Ovis aries: one gene and its partners. The protein of the gene in region 3 purifies or fractionates together with the protein of the main gene of each other region. This does not show direct contact. Links are inferred from orthologs where the notes say so. Each region holds a gene or a part of one and is shown on either strand. Other genes may lie near its edges. The genes, in order: TSC22D2, TSC22D1 and NRBP1.

The links.
Region 1: the proteins of NRBP1 (region 3) and TSC22D2 purify together in Homo sapiens (affinity purification with mass spectrometry; 5 studies listed by BioGRID and IntAct, with this or other methods). This does not show direct contact. The link is inferred for Ovis aries from reciprocal best matches to the Homo sapiens genes NRBP1 and TSC22D2.
Region 2: the proteins of NRBP1 (region 3) and TSC22D1 purify together in Homo sapiens (affinity purification with mass spectrometry; 6 studies listed by BioGRID and IntAct, with this or other methods). This does not show direct contact. The link is inferred for Ovis aries from reciprocal best matches to the Homo sapiens genes NRBP1 and TSC22D1.

What each region holds. Positions count from the first base shown.
Region 1 is NC_056054.1:238,433,589-238,437,973, reverse strand, and holds the start of TSC22D2 (TSC22 domain family protein 2), read left to right. Parts: upstream 1-1,485; 5' UTR 1,486-2,571; coding exon 2,572-4,385. UniProt on the Homo sapiens protein: Reduces the level of nuclear PKM isoform M2 which results in repression of cyclin CCND1 transcription and reduced cell growth.
Region 2 is NC_056063.1:15,072,774-15,075,585, forward strand, and holds the end of TSC22D1 (TSC22 domain family protein 1), read right to left. Parts: intron 1,974-2,812; coding exon 1,716-1,973; 3' UTR 587-1,715; downstream 1-586. UniProt on the Homo sapiens protein: Transcriptional repressor. Acts on the C-type natriuretic peptide (CNP) promoter. Acts to promote CASP3-mediated apoptosis.
Region 3 is NC_056056.1:34,470,862-34,475,202, reverse strand, and holds the start of NRBP1 (nuclear receptor-binding protein), read right to left. Parts: upstream 2,840-4,341; 5' UTR 2,739-2,839; intron 1-2,738. UniProt on the Homo sapiens protein: Required for embryonic development. Plays a role in intestinal epithelial cell fate and proliferation, thereby involved in the architectural development of the intestine potentially via the regulation of Wnt-responsive genes.

The DNA of each region.
Region 1 (4,385 bases), on a different chromosome or scaffold from region 3:
TTTTAACAATCTAGAAAATCAATCCAAAATGAAGTTTTTATAAACTCATATTTGATGTAACCAGTTGATCTAACTTATTGATGGAAAACTGTCTAACAATTACTGAAATTACAGATTTAGTAATGAAACATTCCATTAGCTATTTTTGCCACAATAGCAACATTATGTTACCCCTTGGTTCCTTTACTCTCTCCCACCCCCTTAAGAAGCAGGAATTTTATTATGTTGTCTTATTTCACATCCTGACCTCAGTCATTTGGTTTGAAATACACAATGTCTCCTAAAGTTTAATGACATAGACATATCCTTGTATATTATTTTCAACTAATGACCTAAACAGTTCTCTGAAATTTTAAATTATCAAAAGATCCTTTGGAATAAAAAATATTTCTATTATTCAAAGATTAGAGAACTGAATACAATAATTACCTTGATTTATGTCAGTCATGATATGATTGCTAAAGCTGTAATAGATATTAAACTTTGAATTCCATCAAGACACTTTAGATTTTACCTAAACAATGTGTCAAAGAGCCAGCTTCCTTTTTTTTTTTTCCAACTATTTAAAAGAATGACGTTACCATTTTCTTTTGCCAGAGAGTAACTAAATGATGGTAAATTCTCCAGTACTTGCATAGCTGCTTTCTGGACAGGAAAGAGTGCTTTCTAACTTGCTCAGATTGTTCACGGCCCAATCCAAACCATCTAACACTCTGGCTCTAACTAAGAGTTTCAGAATAAACAAAAGAAAGAACTACAACTATTTAACGCAGTAGGTTCTACATTTATGGAGCCCATAAGCTGATTTCATGCTGAAAGTAAAAACAGTCTCAAGATGTTTAAACGAACTCTTCGATGCTGGAATCACAACAAACTCAAGAAAATTAGGAATATGTTGGTAACCTCTAATCTTTTTTTAAACTGACCTCATCCTGGGCAAGTAACCATCTCCTGATGCCATTGTTGGACACTAAAATTTCTGGCTGAAAGATCCTTTTTCTGACTCAATCTGGCTTGCTATTCTTGGTTAATCCTCCCCGTTTCTCTCAACATTTCACTCTTCTGACTATAGTGGATAACATTCATTTGCAGGAAAGGCTTTTTATAAGTGATTCGGTTCCTCCAGCCGTCTCCCTCTTTATCCTAGCTAAATCCCCCAACCTCCATTCCTATCGCCTTCTTTCACTAAGATTTTGCTAAACATTAGACACAGCAAGCACATGACCTCCAGTTTCCAATGTCTCCGAATAAACCGATATAAAAACCTTCAATTGGCGCGGCTGTAAGTTTTCCTAGAGTTGGAATTTAAGAGTCTTTAGTTCTTCAACTCTTAAAGACCTACAGGGCAAATTTAAATTTAAAAAAATTTTTTAAATTAAAAAAAAAAAAAACCGCTCCCCGTTTTTAACCTTTAGCCCCGCCCACTACCCCCCAGCCTCCACGCGAAACTCTGCAGGAAACCGGAGGGGGCGGGGTGGTGACGTCACGACGCCGGTGCGTCACGGAACGGCGGCGGCTGCGGCGCTGGCGGTGGCTGCGGCAGCGGCGGCATTTTAGTCGGCAGCGGCGGCGGCAGCGGGGCTGCTGCTCCTCCCAGCATCCCTGGCGCGGCCATTTCAGCCCCATCTTGGCCGAGGGGAGGGAGCTGCAGCCGCCGCTTCAGCAGTTTGAATTTCAGTTTCTACAGGGCCTGCGAACCGGGCGCATCGAGGAAGAGTCGAAGAAGCTACCGCAGCTACCTCACACAGCCGGCGCGCCGTCGCTTGCCGGCCTGCCGGCCGCCGCCCCTCACTCTCTCAGGAGCCGCGAGGGGAAGGCCGAGACCGCCGCCACCGCCCGCTCGCGGGGGTGGCTCCCCCTGTATAGGGGAGGACCGAGCCGGCTTTCCCCTCCCCCGGAGCAGGTTTCCGCCTGAGACAGTCGACATGTCCCTGGGACTGAGCTCCGGCTAGAGCCGGGGAGGGAGGGCCGCCCGCCCGCGCCGAAGCTCCGCCACCCGCCCGCGGCTCCTGGCTGAATCAGGAATCCCTGGCTCCGGACTCGCCACTCCTACTCCTGCTTCCCTCGGCGTCCGAGAGCCCGGAGCTGACGCCGGCACTGGTTCGAAGAGCCGGAGCGGGGCAGCACCGCCCCTCACGCCGCCGCCGCCTCCCCTTCGCCCTCCCACTCCCACCCCCAGCCTAGGCCTGTTGACCGCGCGGAGCTGGATTGACCACGGCGGCCCGAAGACGCGAGGAGGAAGCAGCCGACCCGCCCCTGGGATAGTGGTCTCGCCGCCACTGGGGGGATTGAATTGAGGCGCCGCGACTGCGGGAGGCGAGAAGGAAGGAGGAGCCGCCGCACGAGTGAGACGGGGGCAGAGCGGTAGACACCGACTCGGATAAGGAAACGGGAGGAGGATGTCTCACGGAGCGACCGGCGCCCGGATCAGCCCGTGACTCTTACAGCGGCGGGCCTCAGACCCCAGCACGGACACGGACTTTGTCTTTGGGGGCCAGTGTTCTGCCCTTCCTGGTTTCCGGCAAGATCGCGGAGGAGCCGGGTGCTTCTGCCCTTCCAGCCTTCCTCACCATGTCCAAGATGCCGGCCAAGAAGAAGAGCTGCTTCCAGATCACCAGTGTCACCACGGCCCAGGTGGCTACTAGCATCACCGAGGACACCGAGAGCCTGGACGACCCGGATGAGTCACGCACGGAGGACGTTTCTTCCGAGATATTCGACGTTTCTCGGGCCACGGATTACGGCCCCGAGGAGGTCTGCGAGCGCAGCTCCTCCGAAGAGACACTCAACAATGTTGGGGATGCCGAGACTCCCGGAACCGTCTCCCCCAACCTTCTCCTGGACGGACAGCTGGCGGCCGCGACAGCCGCTCCGGCCAACGGAGGAGGAGCCGTTTCGGCCCGGAGCGTGGCCGGGGTGCTGACCAGCACCCTGTCGCCGGCCGCCCCCTCAGCCCCCTCCTCGGGGGCCCCCGGCGCCCCCCCGGTCACAGGCCCGTCCGCCACGCCGGGAACTGCCGCCTCATCACAGCCCCCCACCGCTTGTAGTTCGCGTTTTCGCGTGATCAAGCTGGACCACGGCAGCGGGGAGCCTTATAGACGCGGCCGATGGACGTGTATGGAATACTATGAGCGGGATTCCGATAGCAGCGTCCTGACCCGGTCCGGGGATTGCATTAGGCACAGCAATACTTTTGACCAGACTGCGGAGCGGGACAGCGGCCTGGGCGCCACCGGAGGGTCGGTGGTGGTGGTGGTGGCCTCCATGCCAGGCGCGCACGGGCCCGACTCGGGAACTGACAGCTCCTTGACTGCTGTGTCACAGCTACCCCAGTCGGAGAAAATGAGCCAACCCGCCCCGGCCCCGCCGCAGAGTTTTGGCGTTGGGCAGCCGCAGCCGCCGCCGCCGCCGCCTCCGCCCGTAGGTGGGGCTGTGGCTCCAAGCTCGGCTTCGTTGCCGCTGTTCCCGGGAGCCGCGGCCGCGCCGCCGCAGAGGTTGGCAGCCCCGCCGCCCAGCCAGGCCCAGGGCGCCGGGCCCCCGGGGCCCAACGGACAGGGCCTGCCACTGACGAATGTAACCCTGGCGCAGCCCGGCCTGGCCGTGGGCGCTGCCACCGCGCCCCCGCCCCAGCAGTTCGCGTATTCTCAGCCTCAGATGCCGCCGGGCCATCTGCTGCCCGTCCCGCCCGCCGGCCAGAGTGAGTACCTGCAGCCGCACGTGGCCGGCCTGCAGCCGCCCAGCCCGGCGCAGCCCTCTTCCACGGGCGCGGCAGCGGGTCTGGCCGCGGCCGCCGGTCTCCCCGCGGGCACCGGCCAGAACGCCGCCTCCACTGGCGCGCAGATGATGGGTGCGCCCTCCTTGCCCGGAGAAGCGGTGGCCCCTGGGCCGGGCCCCGCGCCCGGAGGACCGGCCGCGCAGGGTCAGCCGGCCGGAGTGCCCCCGGCTACTGTGGGAGGCACGGCGCCATCGGGCCTGGTTCCCGCCGGGGTCGGGCAGCCGCAGGCCGCGCCTCTGCCGCAGATGGGTGGCAGCGGCGCGCCGTCGGTCGTGCCCGGCGGCCCTCTTGCCGTGGTGCCCGGAGTTGCCAACGTGCCTGCAGCCGCGCCCGCTCCCAGCGTGCCTAGTGTGTCGACGACTTCTGTTACTATGCCAAATGTTCCCGCGCCCCTGGGCCAGGCGCCGCAGCTTTGCAGCCAGCCTCCGGTCAGCAGGAGCGGCAGCAGCATCCAGCACGTGGGGCTGCCCTTAGCGCCTGGCACAGCCAGTGCCCCGACGAGTCTACCGCAGTCTGACCTGAGCCAGTTTCAGACTCAGACCCAGCCTTTAGTCGGGCAAGTTGACGATACTAGAAGAAAATCAGAACCCCTACCTCAACCACCACTTTC
Region 2 (2,812 bases), on a different chromosome or scaffold from region 3:
GAGGGGACTCCCTTGTTCATCTGGTCCTTCCTCAAACTCAGTATAAAGGAAGCCACTGGAATTATCCTATCTTTTGTTTGGGCATCCCTAGGAGCTGGGAACTCAATCCACACTAGGAAAGGCATCCATTCTCAGAGTTCTTGAAGCGGAAATCAGATTCTCTCTCTAAGCCCCAACTTCTGATCCTAGAGCTGCTTGTTGGGATTATACATGGAGTAAGGTTCATTCCCCTCAGCCGGTAAACACTAGAAGATTAAGACTTCCACGGACTCCCAGAGTTTTAAAGCCACAGAGGCATTCAAGAGATTTCTCTCAGCTCCCTCGCATCAGCTGTGAATGGGGAACGCGGCTTGTCCAGGTCACACAACCAGTCTCAAGGACCAAGCTCTTGCCTCCTTGTCTCTTCCCTTACTCCCTGAAAGAACTCAATGTCAGATTCCTTATGTTTCTCCAGTCAAACCATGAGCATCACTACTTTGCCCAACCCTTTCACCCCCCTTCAGAATTTCACCAAATTGTTTTAACTTGGCCTGGAAAGAGTTGTGGAAATGACTACCATTACATTAACACTGTAACGTAGAAACACTTGTTTATCAACATTTTGTATGCTTTATTGAAAGTTGACAAGTGCAACAGTTAAATACAGTGACACCTTACAACTGTGTAGAGAACATGCACAGAAACATATGCAGGTAACTACTATACAGGTAATATGCAGAAACCCCTACTGGGAAATCCATTAGCTAGAACTCTGCATTTTTCAAAGTATTCAACCAGTTCAATCAAGGATTTCAGTGAACAGGGAGCGACTTCAAGATACTCAGCAGCTAGAAGATTGCAGATTACACAAAGTGACTAACTGTGCCAAATTCTTAAAATCTCTTTAGGGAGGTGTGTTTTGCTTCATGGGTTTTTCACGGAGATCGCTATATAAAAGACAATCCACACCTCTTCAGACAGCCAATGAAACATCTAAATTGCAATCTGTACAACCTAAATAGTAGTTACAGTCCTCTATTGTACAAAATAGTTACACTACATACACAAATATACAATAAGCAAAACAACCTTCATGGTAAGAGAGCTTAGGTCCCAGCTACCTGTCACCATTTAGTCACGCTAATAGTTTTGTGTCACTGTTTCGGAAAGAGGCACAGTACGATTTTTTTTTTTAATGGAGTCTGGTGACAGTCGTCGTTTGTACAATGAACTATGTTTTCCCCTCATCTTAGGTGAGACTAAGCTTCACTCTTGACCTTCACCCCCCTTTCCAGTTCCTCTCGGGGGAGGAGAGGAAAGTCCAGCGGCAAGCTCCTCTGCTTTGGAACCCCATGGAGTACACTACTGTGCAAGCAGGAAGAACTCTTGGAGGTGGGGGGGAGTGGGGAGCAGGGGCGGGGAGTGGAAAGGCACAACAGCTCCTCAGAATGAATGAAACCACTTCTCACGGTTCTGCCAAGCTGCATGAGGTCCCAGTATATCCATGCTAATTCTCTGATTAACCTTTAACTCACCCAACTAAGCAATTTCTTCAAGCCGAAAGCATATGAGTGTTTAATACTGGAAAAAAGAGAAAATGGCATATGTCAGTCTCACGTCTCTTTTGCAGCGAGCAATGAAATGGGTGACGGTGGGGGCGGACCCCTCCCCTAGTACATCTTCTCAGGTCTGTTCAGTTCAGACCACAGCAGCCAGTTCTTCGGGGGCCGGGATGGCTACGCAGTTGGTCCTGAGCCCTGGGATGCTGGCTGGGCCGGGGGCTGTGTGGTCCCCTGTGGCTGTGTGGTGGCAGGGGGCGAGCCAGTCTGCAGCTGGGCCTGGAACTGGGCAAGCTGCTCGGGACTGGCCAGTGTCTTCAGCAGATTGTTCTCCTGCTCCAGCTGGGAATTTTTCTCTATGAGTTCCTTGATCTGTTCCTTGAGGACCTCCACTTCCTCTCTAACTGCATACATCAAATGGCTTTTCACCAGATCCTGAAAGGGAGAGAAGGAAGCGGGGTGGGGGAGAAAGGTTTAACGTTCTATTGACTGTTTCCCGGACTCTAAATTGTTAAAACATTTTGCAAGTCTCTCCCTAACCACTGACATATCCTGCCTTTAGAGATTCATTTAACAGGCTCCAGGGGAAAAAGACGGAATACCACCCTAACTGTACAATACTTCAGTTTAACGTATAAGTGATCAAGGTTTTGCTTTCCTTGCAGCTGTTGGCCAGGAGTGCCTACGCTCAGGTTTCCTATTCGAGATGGCAAAACGCAGCCGGGCTCCAGCTCGGTGCAGAAAGAAGCCGGGCCCAGGGATGTCCAGCCCCGAGCAACGGGAGCCACGACCCCGCCCCCAAGCCCCTCCCTCCGCCCGCTGGACCGCCTCCCTCAGCACCGGCTGCAGCCAGTTCCTACAGAGCGTGTTGCCGCATTTTCCTCCCCCCACCCCCCCTTTTCGTGATTAAGCTGACATCACAGAAACCTGGGCAGCCGTCGCAGCCAATGGGCGCTCGAGTTATTTATAGCTCCGAATTAAAGGTTCGGAGTTTGCCTAGCAACAGTGGGCAGAGAATCCCGTGAGAAGAGCCACAGGCGCTGCTCCAATAACAAAGAACGGCCAAGGCGGAAATAAAAAATGGGAGAAATCCAGGCGCAGGCTGAGACGGCGAAACTTTTCTCCGGCTCTTCTTCATTGTGCAGGAGCCTCCACCACTGGGGATCCGTTTGGCCCTGTGGAGGAGGCTCCTTCCCGAGACCCCCCACTTCTGGGGCCCTCCCCGCTCCCGGCTCCGCGGTAAACCTTAGGATCCCTAGGAAAGCCACATCACT
Region 3 (4,341 bases):
ATCTGGGGTTTAAAAGTAAATAAAACATACAGCTCCCTTGTTTCCTTTAAGTCCAAAATCAGAATTAGTCCTGTATGAACCCTAAACATTAACTGCTCTCCTAGTCTGGAGAAGGGGAGCTATCTCAGCTGAAGATGACTCACCCAGGTCAGTGACCAACTGAAGTACACATCAAGCTTAAAGAATATGCTGCTATGCATAAACATGTTAATAAATATATTCTATCATGTAAAAAGATGATTCACCCAAGACTGGCAAACAAAAGATTTATGGTTGTGCAACTCATGTTTAGTAAGGTCCAAATGGAACAGCAAAATCAGGGGCCTCATTCTTTCTCAGCAAATACCTACCCAATAGCCTTCCCTTTGAATTCTCATCTACCTCATCTGCATTATGCTCAAGAACCAAGCTACACGGGCACTATGCAGGGCAGATGACTCCAGATCCCCAAATGTTCCAATGAACCAGCTCGAGAGTTAGAGCTGTAGTATTCTCAACCAATTTGTCCAACTGAAACCCTAAGCTGATTTATTCCACTTGCACTAACCCTGGCATCCACTCTCCATCCCTCCTATGCACAGAATAAGTCTGCCAGTCCATGATGAGGCTACCCTTGGGCCAGGTAACCGGTAGTGGTTAGTGACTTCATTCCTGATGACCTCACCTGCCCTGTGATGTGAGTGTGGCAAATGGGTGGGTACTGGTTAGCAACATTTTTTTTCCATTCACTCATTCAACAAGTGTTTATTAAGCACCTATTGTGGGCCAAGCACTGAGCTAGGTGCTCGAGATACCACAGTGAACAATATAAATAAGATGCCAACACTCATAAAGCCTAAATTTAAGGCACAGCTAAGATTTTAATCTTCCAGTTTTCATTTCATTCACATGGCTCAAAGGCTCCATCCTCTGAGGCACTGGATCTGACACAGGTATCCCTTTTAAGCACAAATAATTCAAGACAAAGCCATTACAGGAAAAGTACTATATTACACTAAATAGTGTATAGTATTATACATGGATATGGCTTCTTGGAAAAAAAGAATTCTCAAAAGCGAAATGTCACAAATTTCAGAGTCATAGGAAAACTGCTGAATGTTATTCCACATCTCTAAGAATGAAGGCCGTGAAGAAGTTGGAACCTGTGTGTGCTGGGCTAAAGGGGATGCTCCCCAGGATGAAAGTATCTTGTAGATTTGCTCCTCTAAGTCAGTTCAAAATACAGAAGCTTCTGATCAGGATCTTTTGAAAAGCTCTCATTTCTTTTTAGAACTCAGATGCCCTCCTCTGCCCATCTCTGCCACCAACCTGCACTATGTTTAACTCAAGTCAGGAGATTTCCTTGGTCTTTAAAAAAAATTTTTTTTTTTCATTTTGGAGGAGATTTTTATTAGATGACATTCCAGTAAATATCAAAGAGCAACAAAGCACTACAGAGAAAATCTGGCAAGATGCTTTTTTTCACCTGTTTTTTCCTCAATCTTTGCCTATCATGGATTTCAATCAACAAGTTTTAGTAATCTATCAGTAAATTTAAGTTACAGATCATTTTTCTTCTCCCCATGAAAAGTAGCTAAAAGCTCACAGGGATTACTTTCTAGAGTAACTATTTATAGAATGTATCCTGAATCTGAACAGCTACGGAAAGAACCAGCTACATAATAAGAAATATCAGTGGAACTGTAATACAGGAAGCCTGTGGCCAGTGGGCTCTAAAGAAACTTCTGGACCCAGGGCACAGACAGTTAATCCACAGTATGGCACGAGATGCCAGACCTTCATCAGTCATAGACGCTCTTCGAATGTGCTTGTCTTCTCCCTCCCCAATCTCTCCCCAGTAGGCAAGATGATGGCAATGCCCAAGAATCCCCAGGACCCCTCCTGCTGATGAAGAAACCTTTGCAACACTGGGAGTTTTTGTCTCAGGGTCAGTCGTTCAGAAATTTAAATAAGACCACAGACGGAAAAAGGGAATCTCCTCGCCGCCTCCAGCCACCCCAAGATGCACAGTGTTCACTTCTGAGCCGTGCAGGTAAAACACTGCAAAGTTTTTTCCTGCGAAGTTTTTCATTTTTTGGACTGCAGCTTCTTAGCATCTCAACTCCTCAGCAACACCTCGCAGGCCACAGGCCTCTCGCCCGCTCTCATCCTGAGGGGACCGAAGAGGACCTGAGACCTGCAGGACTGACCAGTCAGACAGATATAAACTCGAGGAGGAATTTAACACTCCAACAGGTCGCCTAGCCCGCTGACTGCGAGGGAGCGTCGGGCCCCCAAGCAGGCCCTGTAGCCAGCAGCGGCCACCTCACCAGAGGCCGGCCCCGCGGCGCCGTCAGGGGCGCAGGCCACGCCCCCGCGCAGTCGGCGCGCCGGCCCCGCGAGCAGGCGCGGCCCCGACGCTGCGCTTCCGCAGGCCTCCGGGCCTGCGGCCGCCGCCCCCGCCCCCGCCCCCGCCGCCGGCCCCGCCTCTCGTCAGGCCGAGTTCTACACGAACGCCGGGGCCTCGCGCCCCGCGCCCGCAGAATTCCGGGGCCCCCTGCCGCCACTCGGGGGCAGTCGGGGAGGGCCGGGCAGGAAATGTGGGGCCGAGGCGGCCCCCCGGCTCCGGCGGGCCGGGCCTTGGCCACCGAGTGAGCAGGGCCGCCTCCAGACACTCGCCTGCTAGGGTCCCAGATCCGGGCCCTAGAGGCCGATCCTTCGGTCCTCTCGCTGAAACCTTCCCTCCCCTAGGCGCTCACCTCCTGACTCCGCTCCCCGCAGCCTGCGCTTCAGTTCCAGCTCGGGTTCCGGGGCCCCGGATCAGAAAGACTCGCTCACAGCTGCGCTCCGCGGCGCAACCGAACTGCGGGCCCCGCCCTCGTGGCGTCCTGACCAACAGTGGGCGGTGCCGCACTGCCGTTGGGTTTCCATTGGACAGGGCGGCCAGGGTGGGCGGTGCCCCGGGTGTACTGTGGCTGGTAGAGGTAGCCTTCAACCCGGTCTCCTCCCGCTGCGCCTGTCCGGCTGAGATCTCTCGGCGGGTTCGGTGTTTTCGGTCTCAGTGAGGCTCGTCTCTCTGTCTACCCCTCGGTCCGGTCCTGGTGCCCCGGACGATTCTGCTGGGCGAAAGGAAGGCCTTGCCCCTTTTCTTGAAGGCGCCATGACAGTTCTAGTACGACTGAAAGACAAAAGGAGCGAAAGACGCAGCCACAATCCGAGAGGAGAGCCCACCCGCTTTCAGTATTTGGGGGTGAGACTGTGCAGGACACCTATTCAGAAAACTTTCTTTGAATTACTGTGTACATTAAAACTGAAAATTAATAGTTAACGCTTCGTAAGTGGATAGTAATGACGTTGGCCAAAACTTCGCAAGAGGTTTTCACAGATGTTCTCTCTTTTGATCCTCATAAGAAATTGAAATTTTCTTTGAGCAGTAGTTGTCAAATGGAAAAATACTGAATCAGAGGCATTAAGCTATTCACCGAAAGTTGGTAAGAACTAAATTAGGATCCGAAACAGTAAGGCTTATCACAGATTTCCTTGAAAAGATGTTTGGAAAAAATTTAGATCGAAGAGAGTCCAAAGGAAAGAAGTGGACTCGGCTCTTAAGACACGTATTGTGGAGGGAGAAGGGTGAATCAATCAGTACTTGGGAATGTCATAATCACCAAATTTCACTAAAGGACATCTGTTGTCCTGTTTAACTGATAAGACTGGCAAAAGTCTTCTCATTTTCCATCTCTTCACCTCAAAATTTTTAAAATCACTCTTTGTTCCTTGATGCTTTCATCTTTGAAAGAGAGGGCTCCAACACGCTTAGAAATCTGGACCTTGTTTTGGATATTTAGCATATAATTTCAGGGAGCTGAGGTTAAGAATCTTTGTTGTCATCTCAAAGAAAGAATGTTCCTCCTCCTATCCAGATTAATCTCTTAACTTCGTATATTCCAAAGCACTGAATACCTGCCCCACAGTAAACATTAAATATCAGTTGATACTACTATTGCAGTTTCCCATTATCTCCTGTCTGGGTCTTAGTATCATTGACCTTTACCTTTCAACTAGCTCCTTTCAAATCTGCATAAAGGACCTAGGCATCCTCAAGCTCTTATTTGTTTTTAACCTTTCATTCATGGTTTTTTTGTTGTTTTTTGCCCAGCTGCATTCCCCACTGCCCTTACAGTGGAAGTTGAAGTCTTAACCACTGGATTTCCAGGAAAGTCCATTTTCATTCATATTTAAAATGCCCAAGGAGACTTCTCTGCCAGACCAGGGGTTAAAACTGCCCTTCCAATGCAGGGGGCATGTCTTCCAATCCTAGTCAGGGAACTAAGATTCCCGTCGTGTTGCAGCCATGCTGCC